Linked DNA regions of Coturnix japonica. The protein of the gene in region 2 purifies or fractionates together with the protein of the main gene of each other region. This does not show direct contact. Links are inferred from orthologs where the notes say so. Each region holds a gene or a part of one and is shown on either strand. Other genes may lie near its edges. The genes, in order: desmoglein-2 and JUP.

Region 1 (7,300 bases), on a different chromosome or scaffold from region 2:
AGAAGAACTGTGGAGTGTTCCCTTTTTGTGTGTGTATTCTTGCGTGTGGTGGTTTTTAACCAAGATGAAACGATTGTTGCGGGTGAAAGTAGCTGCTTCTGTGAGCATTCAACTGGAGTCACTGGTGTCAAAAGACATGCAAATAAGACACTGATAATTGGAAAACACAAAGAACTGACTAAAAAGCAAAATGCTTGCAGAAAAAATACAGGTTCTTCCTTTCCTGTTTTTCCTGGAAGCATCTATTTGTTGACTGTGTTCCCTCAGTACCCGTGATCTATATCCATAACATCAGCCTGTATGAAAAGAAGCATAGCCAGCAGGGTGAGGGAGGTGATCCTGCCTTTCTACTCTGCATTGGTGAGGCCTCACCTGAAGTGCTGAATCTAGATGTAGAGTCCTCGGTACAGGAGAGACATAGACCTGTTGGAGCACATCCAGAGGAGGGCCACAAAAATGATACAAGGGATGGAGCACCTCCCTACAAGGAGAGGCTGAGAGAGCTGGGGCTGTTCAGCCTGGAGGAGAGAAAGTTCTGGGGAGGATCTGGGTGGATGAGAAGTTTTCTTATATGTGAAAGGTGACTGTCATGAAGAGGGAGTTGTACTGTTTCCTAGTTACGTTATCTACGTGACAAAGAGAGAGATTCAGCTTGTGATTAAGACATTTCAGTGTAGCTGTTTTGGTGTCTGTTATAGGAAACACATGCAGTGGATGTAGGATGCACATATTTGATTGGATCAAACTGTGCTTCTGAAGCAAATCTCCGGAGTGTGTCAGTCTGACCCTTTGAGACTGAAACTGTCCTGAGAGATGTTTCCATCACTTCTGTGGCTGTTTATTCCATGGTGTCAAGCAAATTCTAGTCTGAAGTAAAGCCCACAAAGCTTTACTTTGGCACTGTTATGCTCTCAGCAGCAATGCTGTGATCTCCATCACTGGTTTTTAGAAACAGGTTAAACAGATGTTAGGCAGCAGATGGATGTTACTCATCCTGCCCTAGGGCAGGGAGATGGACTCAGAGATAACCTCCGATGTCCTTTCAGCCCACTTTTGTAAGTGTGCAGGATGTCCACTTTCCAGTGGTCTTCAACATGAAACTGACCTGCACAACATGTGACAAGACCACATTTATAGGGTTTCTAGTTTCATAGCAAAGCAAATAGGCGTATACACCTTGCTTACTCATTCTGCATCTTTCCAGTATAAAATGAAGCTGTGTGTTCAAAATCTGTCTCTGCAGTCACTTCCTTCCCAAGACATGAGCAGGCATTTGTGCAAGAGCAGCCTTGAACTCCCTATACATGTCAGTCACTCCCTCCTTTTCCCCTGCTGCCTCACCCATTCCAGCTGCTTTCCAGCAGTATTTCATTCCATTTTTCTTACTTCAGGCTTCAGGTTTTCTGACTAATTTTCTGTAACAATCCAATTGTCTTTTGCCAGTGCCTTCCCAGCTCCATGTCATCAATAGATTTCATCAGTAGACATCTGGGTTTTTGTGCTGAGGCTGTGATTCACACCAAGTGACAGATGGGGGTTTTCCCTACTAAGCCACTTAATAGAAGGCAGTTGTAGTATATTGAAAAATACATCTTCCAGATGTATCTCTTGCATCTCAAAAATGAAATTGCCATTTTTAAACACCTATTTTAGATCTCTTTAAACTTCCTTAGGGGGTTGCCTATAGACCACAAACTATTATAGGTTAAAAAGCAAAGAACCAAAATCATCTTTTTTAGCAAGAGAGCAGAATGCTTGAGGCTCTTTTATAGGACTCTACTTCTAATGACTAACGGGATTTTCTCTACTTCCTTGATGGCTCTTTTATCTTAGTCCACTGAGATATTTGCAAACTTCAGACACTTTAGTTTACATTGTGGTTTTCAGGCTTCTGATACAAAGAAACTGCTCTCCTGCTACTTTTCCCAACCTTGTCCACTGCTGTGTAGTGTTGTGTGAGAAAGAGGGAATGAAAATATTCTATCAAGCTACGATGTAGCAATCAATGTGAGACTGAAGGGATGAATAGTTAAAGCCCAGTTAGCAGTTTAAAAACCAATCAAAGAGAAGATTTAAAGTATTTAACATATTCTCAGTGGCCTGGATGAAGGGATAAAATCCACCCTCAGCTAGCTTGCTGATGATACAAAGCTGGGTGGAGTGGCTGACACACCAGGAGGCTGTGCTGCTGTTCAGGGAGACCTGGACAGGTTGGAGAGTTAAGCAGAGAGGAGCCTTATAAGGTTCAACAAAAGCAAGGATAGAGTCCTGCACCTGGGCAGCAGTAATCAAGTGGCCAGCAGAAAAGAGAAAAGTGATGCTCCCCTTGTACTCTGCTCTTGTGAGGCCACATTTGGAGTACTACATCCAGTTCTGGGCTCCTCAGCTCAAGCAGGACAGAGAATTTGTAGAGTCCAACAGAGGGCCACAAAGATGATGAGTGGCCTAGATGGGAGAAGGCTGAGACACCTGGAACTGTTTAGCCTGAAGAAGAGAAGACCTGGGGGATCTTGCCAATGCTTGTAAATATCAAATGGGTGGGAGTCAATTGGATACAGTCATTCTCCTTTCAGTGACAGAACAAGGGGCTAGGGACACAAACTGGACCACAGGAATTGCCACCTGAACATGAGAAAGATCTCTGCTGCAAGGATGACAGAGCACTGGCACAGGATGCCCAGAAAGGTGGTAGAGTCTCCTCCTCTGGTGGTATTTAGAACCTACCCAGATGCCTGTCTGTGCAACCTACGGTAGGGAACCTGCTATAGCAGGTAACTAGATGATCTTTAGAGGTCCCTTCCAAGCCCTGTGATTCTATGGTTTACTGACTTCAATAGAAAATCACTTCTCTAAGCCTACTTTTCCTTAGGCCTTAGGTCAATAAAAATCACCTTTGGAGCATCAGGGAATGCAAACACAGGATCTCTGATAATTTGACTGAGGATCCAATTTCTTACATTTAACAAGAGACACCTAATTGCAGTGTCTTGGGGCATGCATAGCTATCCAGGGCTCTTAGTGGATAAAGAAATGTACTGCTAAAGTGACCCTGAATTAATAATTATCATGACTTTCATTACAGATCTGTCTCAGTTGTGGAAATGGACTCCATTGGAAGGTAGGAGTTAATGCTTTTCTTTATAAGTGCCTGAAGGCCTGAAGATGGATCTGGAAACCAGCAGGACAGGAGGAGGAAGAAGTGTCAGTGGGAATGAGGGGTAGCTGGCCAAGGATAGCTGAGACAGTGAATGGGTTTCTTATTGCATGTATCCTGTATTACAGAAGAAGCTGAGTACTGGTCAGTATTGATGGGACACTAAACAGCATAAGGCAGAAATAGTTGTCTACAGCAGTATCAGTGGCAAACTTCATTCCACATCTGGTGACAAGCACTTAAATCTGCCAGAATGGGTGTATTATCAGCATACCCTGGTCGTGTGAACATGCCTGTGTATTTAAACCTTGTGCTTTATATGTCTGTCTTGATTAAAAAATCGCTGAAGTTTTTCTCTTCAAACAACTTCAGGAATGTATAGTTTTAAATTGTGCTTCAGAATGGTAGTACTGCTCTGTGATTTCAAAATTAGTATTGTAACAGTGTATAACCTGGACTAGCACAGCAATAAAGCACCGTATCTTAAATGACCAGATGTTATGCTGACGTTTAGCTTTGTTTTTTTCACAGATTTACAATCGAAGTGGCAGGCATGGCGCATCATCTCATCCCAACAGCCCAGTCAGACAGAAGCGAGAATGGACAGTCCCTCCTGCTTTCATACGGGAAGAGGAAGACAATTCCTATAGGAATCCAATTGCTAGAGTAAGCCCCGAAAAGAGATAAATACAGAATACACAGAGATGAAATTATAAAATAAAGATGTGGCTGCCCTAACCACAGACACAGATGTTTCTTTAATTTTAATGAACTATTGAATACTAGTAGAAGACTGGCACATTTCGTTCAGTTTCCTTCTGAAGATGAGTTACTCTTGAAGCCTGATTTGACTGAGTCTCTCATCTTTTCCCACTCAACAATTTTCTTAATGCTTTTGGAAATGCAGTTGTTTTTGAATTTTTTTCACTCTACCACCCTACCAGAATTACTCAGCTCTGGTTCAGGTTGGCTAGCAGCTCCTAAAACTGCTGGTGGTGATTGGACAGAAGGGTGTATGTGGAGCAGTCAGACTCTTCCTTGAACTTGTATGCCATCCAGCTTTCTTTGTCCAAGTAGTCAGAGTTTTCTTCTCCCACAGACCTCTCTGTTCTGTGGTTCCCAGCTGTTGCACTGTCTGTCACATTCCTAATCTCCCTTGGACTAGATCTTCAAAGAGACCACATAACTTTTTCTTCTCTCAGCATCTACGCACTGTAAACAATGTAGAAAAACTGTATTTAATACTAATTTTTGTTTGATCATTATGAAAATAGCTAAAAGATTGTGTCTTTTTAAACACGGTTTTATTTACCAATTACTATTTACTCTATCATGTTCCTACTAGATACATTCTGATCTTGAAGACACAGGGATCGTGGTAACTTATACTATATCTGGTCAAGGAGTTACAGAACCCCCTTATGGACTGTTTGTTATCAATGGAAAGACCGGAGACTTGAACATCACAGGGAGGGTTGACAGAGAAAAGACTCCAAGGCTATTAGTAAGTTGAATATTAACTTTACCCTCATAAGTGCTCTTCTTTCCTTTTTTAATAAAAATATTTATTATTTCAAGAAGTTTTAACATTTCTGGACATATATATATAAATGTGTGTGTTTGTGTATATGCACATATATATAACTGCTAATATTGTTATATATAATGTTGCTATATATTTAAATTGTATCCGTACTCACATATATGTATTACAGTCACTCATTTTCTTATTGTCTCTGAATTATTTCAGTTGCGAGGTCATGCTCTAGACAAGACAGGAGCAAAACTGGAAGAGCCAATAGACCTCCCAATTAGAGTTCTAGATATAAATGACAATCCTCCAGTGTTTTCACATGAAGTTTTTGTTGGTTCAATTGAAGAATTAAGTGAAACAGGTAACATTTATTTTTTTTTTTCTAATTTACCTTTTCTGAACTCATTCAGAAAGTGAATGTAGCCATTGCAGCAGCATATCTGTAGTAACAATAGTGCATTATCTTGCTTGTGTAGGACAGGTTATCCAAGTTTGAATGCATGCTTTTATTCAGGGCTGAGTTGTGCAGTGTGGTGAAGGGAAAGCATGTGCATAAAAGCAACAGAGAACAAGACTTCCTCTTATGCCAACTTTGTTTTTGGGTCAAAGCTGACATCAAGCCAAGGACTGTAGTCCTTAAGTAGACACTGCATGGAGAATTCCATCCATCTTCTGTCCTAGCAATTCCAGCCTATTTTGGAGGCACTCAGCTCTGCTGTGATTAAGAAAAGTTCTCCTTCATTTAATAGTCTGGAGAAGCACTTTAATATTGAGAGAGAACAAGTTGTTGTCAATTTTCTTATTAATGACAGTAAACATAAGAACAGGTCTTGGTGCAATAGACTGTTTCCCAGAGTAAAATGTCCTAATAAATACCTGATACTACGTCCATTTCAATGCCATGGTAATCTGAAGATAGAAATTACTGACCATCCATTTGTTTGAGGTATTAAGTTCCCGCAGCTGCCTTTCAAGTCAGTAACAGCCATATGGTAACTGTCTCTCTTCCTGAATTCCAGCTGGTGCTCAAAGCCAGGTAATAGTGCTGGACATTGACGTAGGCCCTTTCCAAGTAAAATATCCTGTGTCGTGCACATAAGGGGCCTGCAGCATGGAGGCTACCATTTATTTTGAATTAAGCAGTTGGAGGGCATCAGTCAGTAAAGAGCAGATGTTGTATTGATGTTCATGTACAAAAGTTGTCCAGCTTCCTTTAGGATGATATATGAGGGAAACGCAATTTACTGTCTGAATTATGTTGCCATCTTCTTTATACAGTATCTAAAGTTTTCTGTCAGAACTCTTGTGAGAGTTCAACTCGTTGGATAGTTGTAATGAATTGAATTCTACAGCCTTCAGATCTGTGTTGATAGGGTAATTTTTGTTTGTGATTTTTTAACATAAATTGTTTTTCAAGAACACTTTTTCAGCTCTATTAAATTAGCAGAGGTAGGGGCATCAGAAAATTGTGCATTGCATCTGGCAGCACACTCCTACCTGTGGCATTACAGTAAAAATACTTGCCAGTGCATGGCAGCGTAACCAAGTATTGTATTGTGTTGTGGTTTTTTTCAGGTACAATTGTGATGAGGTTAAATGCAACGGATGCAGATGAACCAAATAACCTGAATTCCAAAATTGCTTTCAGGATCATTTCCCAAAGCCCAAGTTCTGCATTCAGTATGAATAAAGATACTGGCGAGGTTCGAGTAGCAGCAATAAACCTTGACAGAGAGGTAAAAAAAAAACAAACATTCTCTGTTGATAGTATTCTTCTGGTACCTTTTATCACTTTTCACTTTCCTTCATCCCAGTTGGGTTTAAAGGACCATTCCTTGTCTGTCGAATGTATGTTTTCCAGTGGCTTTGTGAGGGGATGAGGTAAAGCTTGCTTTCACCCTGTCTCTTTTTTTCTCACAATGCCAGTTGCTGGCTGTTGTTTTCTGTCCCTTCCGTGCAGCTGGGCAGCAGTTACATGACACAGGGGTGTTGTCTCTTTGCTGGTGTGCCTGTGGGTAGAACACCCAGGTCACCACCTGTAAAGCTGCTGGTTGAATCTAGACTTTTGTAGACTGCTGTACAAATCAGGTCCTAAAGGATAAGTGATGGTGCTGCTGTGAGTGTGTCGAAAGCCAGATATTGTTGGCAACTTTCCCTATGCTTGCATGTATTTTCACTGACCAGCAGATGGTGATCTTTATATTAGCTCTCAGAGGCTGCAGACACCATCCTTTTCTTAATGTGCAGGTATTGCTGCATCCTCTTTGTGGCTACTGAAATTTTTCCACTTTTGTATTTGAGCACAGTCTAACTCTTTGGGAGGAAAATGCAAAACTCCCAAACCCTTTTCTGAGACTCAGCTTTACTCCAGTAGGAAGAGCTATGTATAAATTGGCCATTGCTTGAGAGATTTTGACAAAATAAGGCACAGGTAATACAGTAAGGCAACACAGATTTAGACTAGTTTAACACTTCTTCCTTTTTCTTTGCTAATTATGACAGACACAAAGTAGCTATTCTTTGGTGGTGGAAGGGAAGGACCGTGATGGTGCAGCAGATGGGAATAGTGCTACATGCTCTTTAGAAATCAAAATTTTGGATGTCAACGACAA
Region 2 (7,753 bases):
CAGCCCATCTTTGTGCGCTCAGTGAAGCTGTACAACAACGGGGATTTCAGGAGCAGTGCAGCTGACATGGAGCAGGCTCTGGCTGAGTACTACAAGGCGTACGAGGACTGCCTGGCTGGCTGCGAGGGCGCCTACGAGCTGCAGGAGTTCAAGGACTTTTACCCGGCCATCGCAGGTAGGTGGGCAGTGGGGGGGGGGGGGGGGTGATGCGGGGCAATGGCTGACACCTGTTCCCAGACCACTATGTGAGCGTGCTGCGCTGCAAGGTGGGCTGTGAGGGCGAGCTCACCCCCAACGTGGGCGGCTACTTCGTGGAGAAGTTCGTGGCCACCATGTACCACTACCTGCAGTTCGCCTACTACAAGCGTGAGTGTGGGCTGGGGGCTGGGGGCCTGAGCCCCTGGGGGGTCCCAGGGCTGGGTGTCACCCTCCATGTCACCCCCATGTCTCACTCTGCTCCTTGCAGTGAATGACGTGCGGGATGCGGTGCGCAGCGTCTCCAGCTACATGCTCTTCGACCCGGATGACGCGGTGATGCAGCAGAACTTGGTGTACTATCGCTTCCACCGCGAGCGCTGGCACCTGCAGGAGGAGGATTTTGAGCCCCGGCCGGTGAGAGCCCCCCCAGCCCCTGCCATGGGGCTCTGCTCAAATGGGGGCTGACATGGTCCCCGCTCCCCCACCCTGTGCCCAGGAAGCCGTGCACTACTACAACCGCACAGCTGCGCAGAAGAAGATGCTGGAGTTCGCCAGGCAATACCTGCAGGCTGATGATGAGGTGGGTGACGGCCACTTCTGGGGGTCCCATGCAGGTGGGGGCTGTGGGTACCTGTGCAGTTATACAGACAATAGGTGAACAGATGTTCTGTACAAAAGATTATCATGATAGAAATATGATCTATGACATGCTATCCATGGTCTATCTATGCTATCCCACCCTGTGCTGCAGATGGAGGTGGATGATGGAGAGGACCTGCAGGATCTGCCTTCAGACAGCGAGTTTGAGGGTGAAGGGGACTATGAGGAGGGATTCTTCGCAGAGTGGTGGCAGGAGCCCAGCACCAAGGGGGACAAAGCAGACGAAGGTTCCTGACTGGGGACTGTGATGCAAAGCTGGAGGGGGGCTGCTGCTGCATCCCAGTGTTACCATCCCCTCTGTTTGCAGAGACGCTGTGATGTGCCAGGAGAAGGGGACTCTGGCCCTGACGGAGCAGGATGGTGGTGGCCGAGTGGTGCCATTCTGGGGCCTCCAGGCTGCAGGCTCTTGCTCCATGCACGGGAACACGGGTTCACTGGGAAGGGCTGATCCTGCCCAGTGCTCCCAGCAGAACTGCCCCATCTACAGGGACATGCTGCCATAATTCCCATCCGAGGAGCAGCCGCACCACTGTGCCACCACCTGCCTGGTGCCCCCTGAGCCCCCCCAGCCCCGATGTCCCTGGGAGCCCCATAGTAGCGCTCCATAGCAGCACTGAGATTTGCTGTGCCCCTTCATTGCTCCCCCAGGAGCCACTGACCAGGGGGCCAACAGCAAACCCCTGTGCTGCCTTATGGGTTCTGTGCACGGTGCTGGTTCTGGCAGCAGCCCACCCCCACCGGCAGCTCCCAGAGCCGCCCCTTCCCCCCGTCTCGGTGCTGGGTGCTGCTCCTGGTGCACGGCATCCCTGTGCCACTGTACCCCGTCACCACCTCTGCCCCACAAGTGCCTTCATCTCTCTCCCAGCAGCCCCCAGAGCTTTAAGCTCCATTAATTTAATACTTCCCATCTCGCTTTTATATTTTTCGCTCGTTTATTTTGTATTTTAAACGTTCTGGTGCTGAACTTGGAATAAAACTCGGTCCGCTCTTTTGACGGCCGCCTCTGCCCGGAGCAAATCGGGACGGACACAAGTGCCATGAAAGACCATCTGGGGGGGGGTCGGTCGGGTCGGGACCCCCAGGCCGGGCGGTGGGTGCTGGGCGGCCGCTGGTGCAGCCACGGCGCTGCTTTGTGCCTGGCGGCCGTCGAGCTGTTGGCAGCACGAGGCTCCGCCGGGACTTGGCTGCGGTGACTGAAACCGAGAGGCTGAATCACGGCGTGAGCCGCGGGCGAGGGAAGGGACGGGATGGGGCGGGACGGGACGGGATGGGACGGGATGGGGTGGGATATTATGGGATGGGATGGGATGGGATGGGATACAATTGGATGTAATGGGATGGGGACAGAATAGGATATAGAATGGGATGGGGAGGGGTGGGATGGGATGGGATATTATGGGATATTATGGGATATTATGGGATGGGGTGGGATGGGCGCTGCCGCTCCCCGCCCTGCTCCAGCTGCGTGTCTCCCCCGCTCCGACCCGCAGTGCCGCCCCCCGCCCCCCCTCCATTTACCCCCCTCCATTTTCCCCCCCTCCATTTTCCCCCCGTTGTCCCGACCCGGTTCGGTCCCGTTCGAACCCTCCCGGCTCCGCCCCGTGACGTCACCCAGGTGGGCCCTCGGTGCGCTCACGCCCTTCCCCACCCGCCCTCGCCCCGCCCCCGCCCCGCCCCGCCGCCCAATCAGCTCCCGGCGCGCGGGGGGCGGTCTCCTCCCCGCCAATGGCGAGCGGATAAACACGGGGAGGGGGCGGGGCCCGGTCAGCAGCGGCGAAGACGGACGGGAAGAAGAACCAATGGCAAGCGGGCAGCGCTGTGAGGGGCGGGGCCAGGCGGGGCGGGGCGCCGTTCGCCTTTTGTTCGTGCGGGAGCGGGGCGGGCGGCAGAGCTGCGGGAACCGGGAGAGGTGAGAGACGGGGGGGGCGGGCGGGGGGCGAGGGGGGGGGGCCTGGGCTGGGGGGTCCCGGCATCGAGGGGCTCCGGGCTCCGCGCGGTGTCGGGCTGTTACCGCCCCCCCCCCCCGGGGCAGCGCCGCGCCCGGCTGCGCTCATCCCGTCCGACCGGTCCCGAGCAGCCCCGGGGCTGCGCTCACCGCCGGGCTCGGTTCGGTTCGGCCCAACCGGCCCCGTGCGGTTCCGGTGCTGCCGCTGGGCGCTGCCCCGGGTGGTTGTTCCGGCGGAGCCGCTCACCTGCCCCGAGCAGCCCCGGGGAGCGGGACGGGCTGCGGGAGGGGAACGGGGACGGGGGGGTTAATGAAGCGGCTCCTGTTCATCCCGCCGCGCTGACACCGAACGTCGGGGCAGCGGAACTGAGCGGGGAGCGACCGGCTCGTATCGTCGTCACGTTCTCGTTGCGTTCGCTGGGTGATTAGTTTAATTAATCGGCGCAGATTAAAGCACGACGCGGGGCCGCTGCTGGGAGTTGCCCGCGGAGGAAGGCGTGGGTTGTGCGCGGGGGGACGCGGTGGGAGCGTGGGCGGCTCCCGGGGCGCAGCCCGGGCCGGGACGGAGCCGTGCTGACCTCAGCGCTGTCCCCGCGTCCTGCCGTGCCCTCCCCGGTGCTGGTATCCCCGGGCCCCCCCTGTCCCCGCTCCGGGGCTGTCCCTGCTCCGTCCCTTCTCTGTCCCTGCTCCGTCCCCTTCCCACCCGCAGTTTGGTCCGTCGGTGGGGGGCGCGGATCCCCTCCCGTGTCCTTGTGGGCGTGCGGCGGGGCAGTGTGCGGAGCGGAGCAGCCATTAAGGTCCTTCCACCTCCGAAGGCCGTAATTGTTCACCGCTTTGGAGGATTTCCACAAAGTGGTTTGAAAAACCCATTTGGCAGCGAACTCGGCTTTAACAGGTGGGCACAGGACGCGCCTGCGCAAAGCCCGGGTGGCGGTGGCCGGGGGTCGTTTTATCCCCGGTTCTGGTGCCGCTCGCTGGGCGATGAGGAGCTGCTGGGGGGGGCTGAGCTGCAGCTGCCCGACTCCGGCGGTGGGGAAGCGCTGGCGGAAGCGTGGGGGGGGCTGCAGGCCGCCCCAACCCCCCCCGCCCCCACAAACAATGGCTCCCATTCCATTGTCTGGTGCTGCAGCCACTCCCCTGGGGACAGCGGGGATGCCGGCATGAAGCACCTCGTGCCCCGTCCACATGTGGGTCCCCGTGGGCTGTGCCGTTGGCACCACTGCCCGTGGTTTGTTCACACCTGGAGACCACGGAGCGTTTCGCCTCTGAGCTGTACATGAAGGTCGGGTGCTGCCCTCCTCCTCCTGGGAATCCTTCCTTGTTCCCCCATCAGACCCCCAGCCGGTTGGGGGGTGCAGTTGGCAGCCCGCAGGGAGGAGCTGCGCTGTGGGGCTGCAGTACAGGGTCTGCATGGGGAGCTCACAGGGCTCTAATTGAGGTGTCTGTACCACAGCTCATGCTGCTCCTGAAATTTGAAATTAGGCTGGCTTCTAATTAGCAGGAGTTAAAAAGAAGTTTCATTTCTATTGAAGCACTGCAAGTCTGCCTTGGACTTCTTGTGGCACAGTTGCCAGCTCTGACTCTTGTTTTAGGTGGTGTTTTCCCACCTCGGTGCTTTAGGGCTGTGCCTGGGATAGGCAGCAAATGGGGTCTGGGTGGCAGCTGTGGGTCCCAGTTGGTCTCCTGGGACCTGGGGTGTCCCCCACGGGGCTGTGCCCTGCTGGCAGCGCCTGGCTCGCAGTCAGCCCTGGAGGATGCAGCACTTGAGCTGATGCAGCATTTCCAGCTCCACCAGGGTTGGGTTTACCCCGTTTCCCAGGGACAGGGTTGGGTGTTTGGGGATGGAGCAGGCACGCTGTCTGTGCATGGGAGAGGCTGCCAAAGAAGTCTTAAAACTTGACCTAAGCAGCTTAAAAACACATCTGTGCTTACAGTGCTGCTGGCCAGAGCTGAGCTGCAGAGTGCTCCAAAGCTGCATCCTGTGCTGCCAGCTCAAGGACGGCCCAGCACAGCCCTGGATGCCACGCTTGGCGTGTTGCTGCCTGCTCTGCTCAGTGCTCCCGAGGCCCACATGCTGCAGGGGTGGTGCAGTGCACCCAAAGCTTTGGGGTCCAGTGGTGGGGGGGGCAATGCTGTGTGTGCTTCATCACCCCCTCCTCCCCCCGCTCCCCTCCATGCTACATCAGTCCTTCAGTGCATCCTGGGGTTTGTCCTTACTGTGTGCTCACTCTGTGCTGGCTTTGGGCTCAGGAGCCTCCTGGGCCAGTGCATCCTCCTGCCTCCATGGGGTGAGAGCTGTCTATGCTCCCCCCTTGTGTGCAGTGCACTGTGCTTTGTAAGGGTGGTGAGGGGAATACAGGAGGAGTGAGGGGCAAGATGTTTCTAATTAGACAGGCTTGAGATATCTCTCCAAATCTGCCATCCCCGATTGGTTTTTCTGCAGCTGCTGACAGGCCTGGAGGCATTTCATAATGCTTGAATTGCTCGGATCTAAAATCCCTCCATGCAAAGGGCAGGAGCCTTGTGCTGGAGCGGAGCTCCTGGTGGCTCGGGGCGCTGAGCTGTGCTGGGGCTGCCATGGGATGCTCAGTGCTCTCTGAATATCCCACACCTGCTGACCTGACCCATTCCCCCAGTGCTGCGGAGATGCACAGGGGGGGTCGTGCAGCACTGCAGCTAAGGCTGCAATCGGCCTCGTGGCATCATCGCCATGCATTGGGCAGGGGTCTGTTGGGGGCATTGCTGGGGGGGGGCAGGTGCTGGCACTGAGCTCCTCCAGCACAGTGCGGAGCCCTGGCACTGTGAGGCAGCCGATGCTGCTGGGTGGTGGCACAGCTGCTCCATGCTGGCAGGGCTGTGCCAGTCCCCACCTCGGTGCCAGCAGCAATCCCACTCCTTTACCCACATCCCCGCCGTCTCAGGGATGCGTTGCCGTGCTGCTTTGTGCAGACACAGGGCTGGGATGGCAGGGCAGGAGCGTTCACTTTGCTGGTGGCAGAGACCTTTGGCTGCTGTGCGAGCGCTGCTGTAATCGCAGTGACACCCAGCCGAGCCCTGGTGACAAATCATTAACCTGCTCCGACAGGCCGTGTGCTGACGGGTGTTGGCGATAATTCCCTGTGAAGCATTTGAACTTTGCAGATGTAATGCAGTTGGATGGGGAAATGAAGCTGGGGCGCAGCAGCCCTCAGCCCTGCTCTGCTGGCAGATCTGGGGTGGCAGAGCCCTGTGCCATTGGACACCATTATTCTTGCTGGAAACACACATGAGCCTCCAAGCTGAAATCCTAAAAGCTGCAATTATTGCGTTCCTGAAGGACAATTTGTTCCTGGTGCTCTCTAAAACAAAACATTTCTTTTCTTATCCAGATGGAGCTGTTGGGATTGATTGCACCGTGCCAGCTCTCCTGTCACGGACAAATGGGGAGCTCCCATCCTCCCCACCCGTGTCTGTAATGAGACGTGCCACCTCTGCTGGCTGAGGGCTGTGCCCTGCTGGGCTGGGGGGCACCTCCCCTGCTGGGCTGCTTAGTGGGGAGGGGGCTGGGGCGGCAGTGCGGGATCCCTGCGCGGTTCCCAGGATGGGGCAGGGTGGGGTGGGACGCTGGTTCCACGTGCGGGAGCGGCTCCTGCTCATGGCAGGGATGGGTGTTGGCGCTGAGGGCGGAGGGAGGCCCAGAGCTGTTCTTCACCTGGGAGCGAGCCAGGACAGCGGCCACGGTCCCGTGTGGGTTGTGAGGGTCCCCAATGTGGGCAGAGCCGTGGGGAGGGGGGGGGGTTGTGGGTGCTGATGGAGCTGGAGGGGGAGCTGAGCTTTGCCCACAGTGTGTGCAATGGGGCTGCACCAATAGCTCAGCATCACATCTGGATTTGGTGGGAATTGATAGAGACACAGACGGCCCCGTGCTGGGAGCTGATGTGTGGCGGTGCTGTGTGTGCTGTCACGGCAGAGGAATGTGCAGCAGAGCACCTTGTCCCCTCGTGCTGGCAGTGCAAGAACATGACAGCCCACACTTGCCTGTGCTGGAGCTGTCAGCAGCTGCTCTGTGGGGCGGAGATGTGGGGCTCTGGTGGGGAGCGGTGCTGGGGGAGCAGTTGGGGCTGGGGGTTGAGCACCAAATAAAGGTGGCTGTGCTCAGCTCCTTTGTCTGTGGGTTGCCGAGGGCTGCGTGTGCACAGCTCTGGGATGGTTCTCATTCCCTTTGAACCCTTTGAGTTATCTGTGCTGCAGAGCCCTCCTGGAAGCAGCCCATGTGAGCGCAGAGCTGACTGTAACGCTGCCCCTTGATGCTGGGGAGCTCTGAGAAGTGCCTTTCTCTCCCTGCCTGCGCTGCTTGTTCTTCTGAAGGATTCTGTTAAAGCCTATTGAAGCTCTGGTTGTTGGCAGTGGTGCCAGACGTGGGATGCCGCTGCTCCGGCACTGCTGTGCTGTCTGGGCAGCTGGGAAGGGCAGAGGTTACTGGTGTGCAGTAGAAGTGCATCTGAGATCACCCTTCCTTACCCTGTATTTGTTGAATTGCCTTTAATGCCTCTTTCCTTTCTTTAAAAGCCTCAGTGGCTGTAGTTGCAGTTGCTCGCGTGCTTCCTGCAGCCCAGCTCGCTGCTGGTGCACAGTGCAGCTGCGGTGCTGTGCTTTGTTCTGTGTGCTGGGGGGGTTGGGGACACCTCACTGCTTCTGTGCCCAGTCAGAGCCTCACACCACCAACACCTCAGGGTGACAGAGCTGTCTGTGATGGGGACGTGGTGCTGCAGGGGCTGCTGAGCAAAGCAGCACTGTGAGCCCACCGCCAGCACTGCAGGTGAGGGGACCCCAGGCAGTCCTTACCTCTGTGTGAGGCTCTGATTATGGCATCCCCGCTGCTGTGCTGGGCAGCTCAGCTGTAAATCAGTGCCTGCTGTGGATGCTGCGTCCTGCCCGTGTCACGGAGCTGCAGGAAGGGGCTGCGGGGGG

Evidence for each region.
Region 1: the proteins of JUP (region 2) and desmoglein-2 purify together in Homo sapiens (affinity purification with western blotting; 3 studies listed by BioGRID and IntAct, with this or other methods). This does not show direct contact. The link is inferred for Coturnix japonica from reciprocal best matches to the Homo sapiens genes JUP and DSG2.

The regions. Positions count from the first base shown.
Region 1 is NC_029517.1:95,849,733-95,857,032, forward strand, and holds part of desmoglein-2, read left to right. Parts: intron 1-3,082; coding exon 3,083-3,118; intron 3,119-3,685; coding exon 3,686-3,820; intron 3,821-4,499; coding exon 4,500-4,658; intron 4,659-4,904; coding exon 4,905-5,049; intron 5,050-6,263; coding exon 6,264-6,424; intron 6,425-7,190; coding exon 7,191-7,300.
Region 2 is NC_029542.1:4,303,274-4,311,026, reverse strand, and holds the start of JUP (junction plakoglobin), read left to right. Parts: upstream 1-2,669; 5' UTR 2,670-2,767; intron 2,768-7,753. Other genes in the region: P3H4 (endoplasmic reticulum protein SC65), read left to right, coding at 4-175, 238-366, 467-612, 695-778, 950-1,085, 1,166-1,176. UniProt on the Homo sapiens protein: Common junctional plaque protein. The membrane-associated plaques are architectural elements in an important strategic position to influence the arrangement and function of both the cytoskeleton and the cells within the tissue.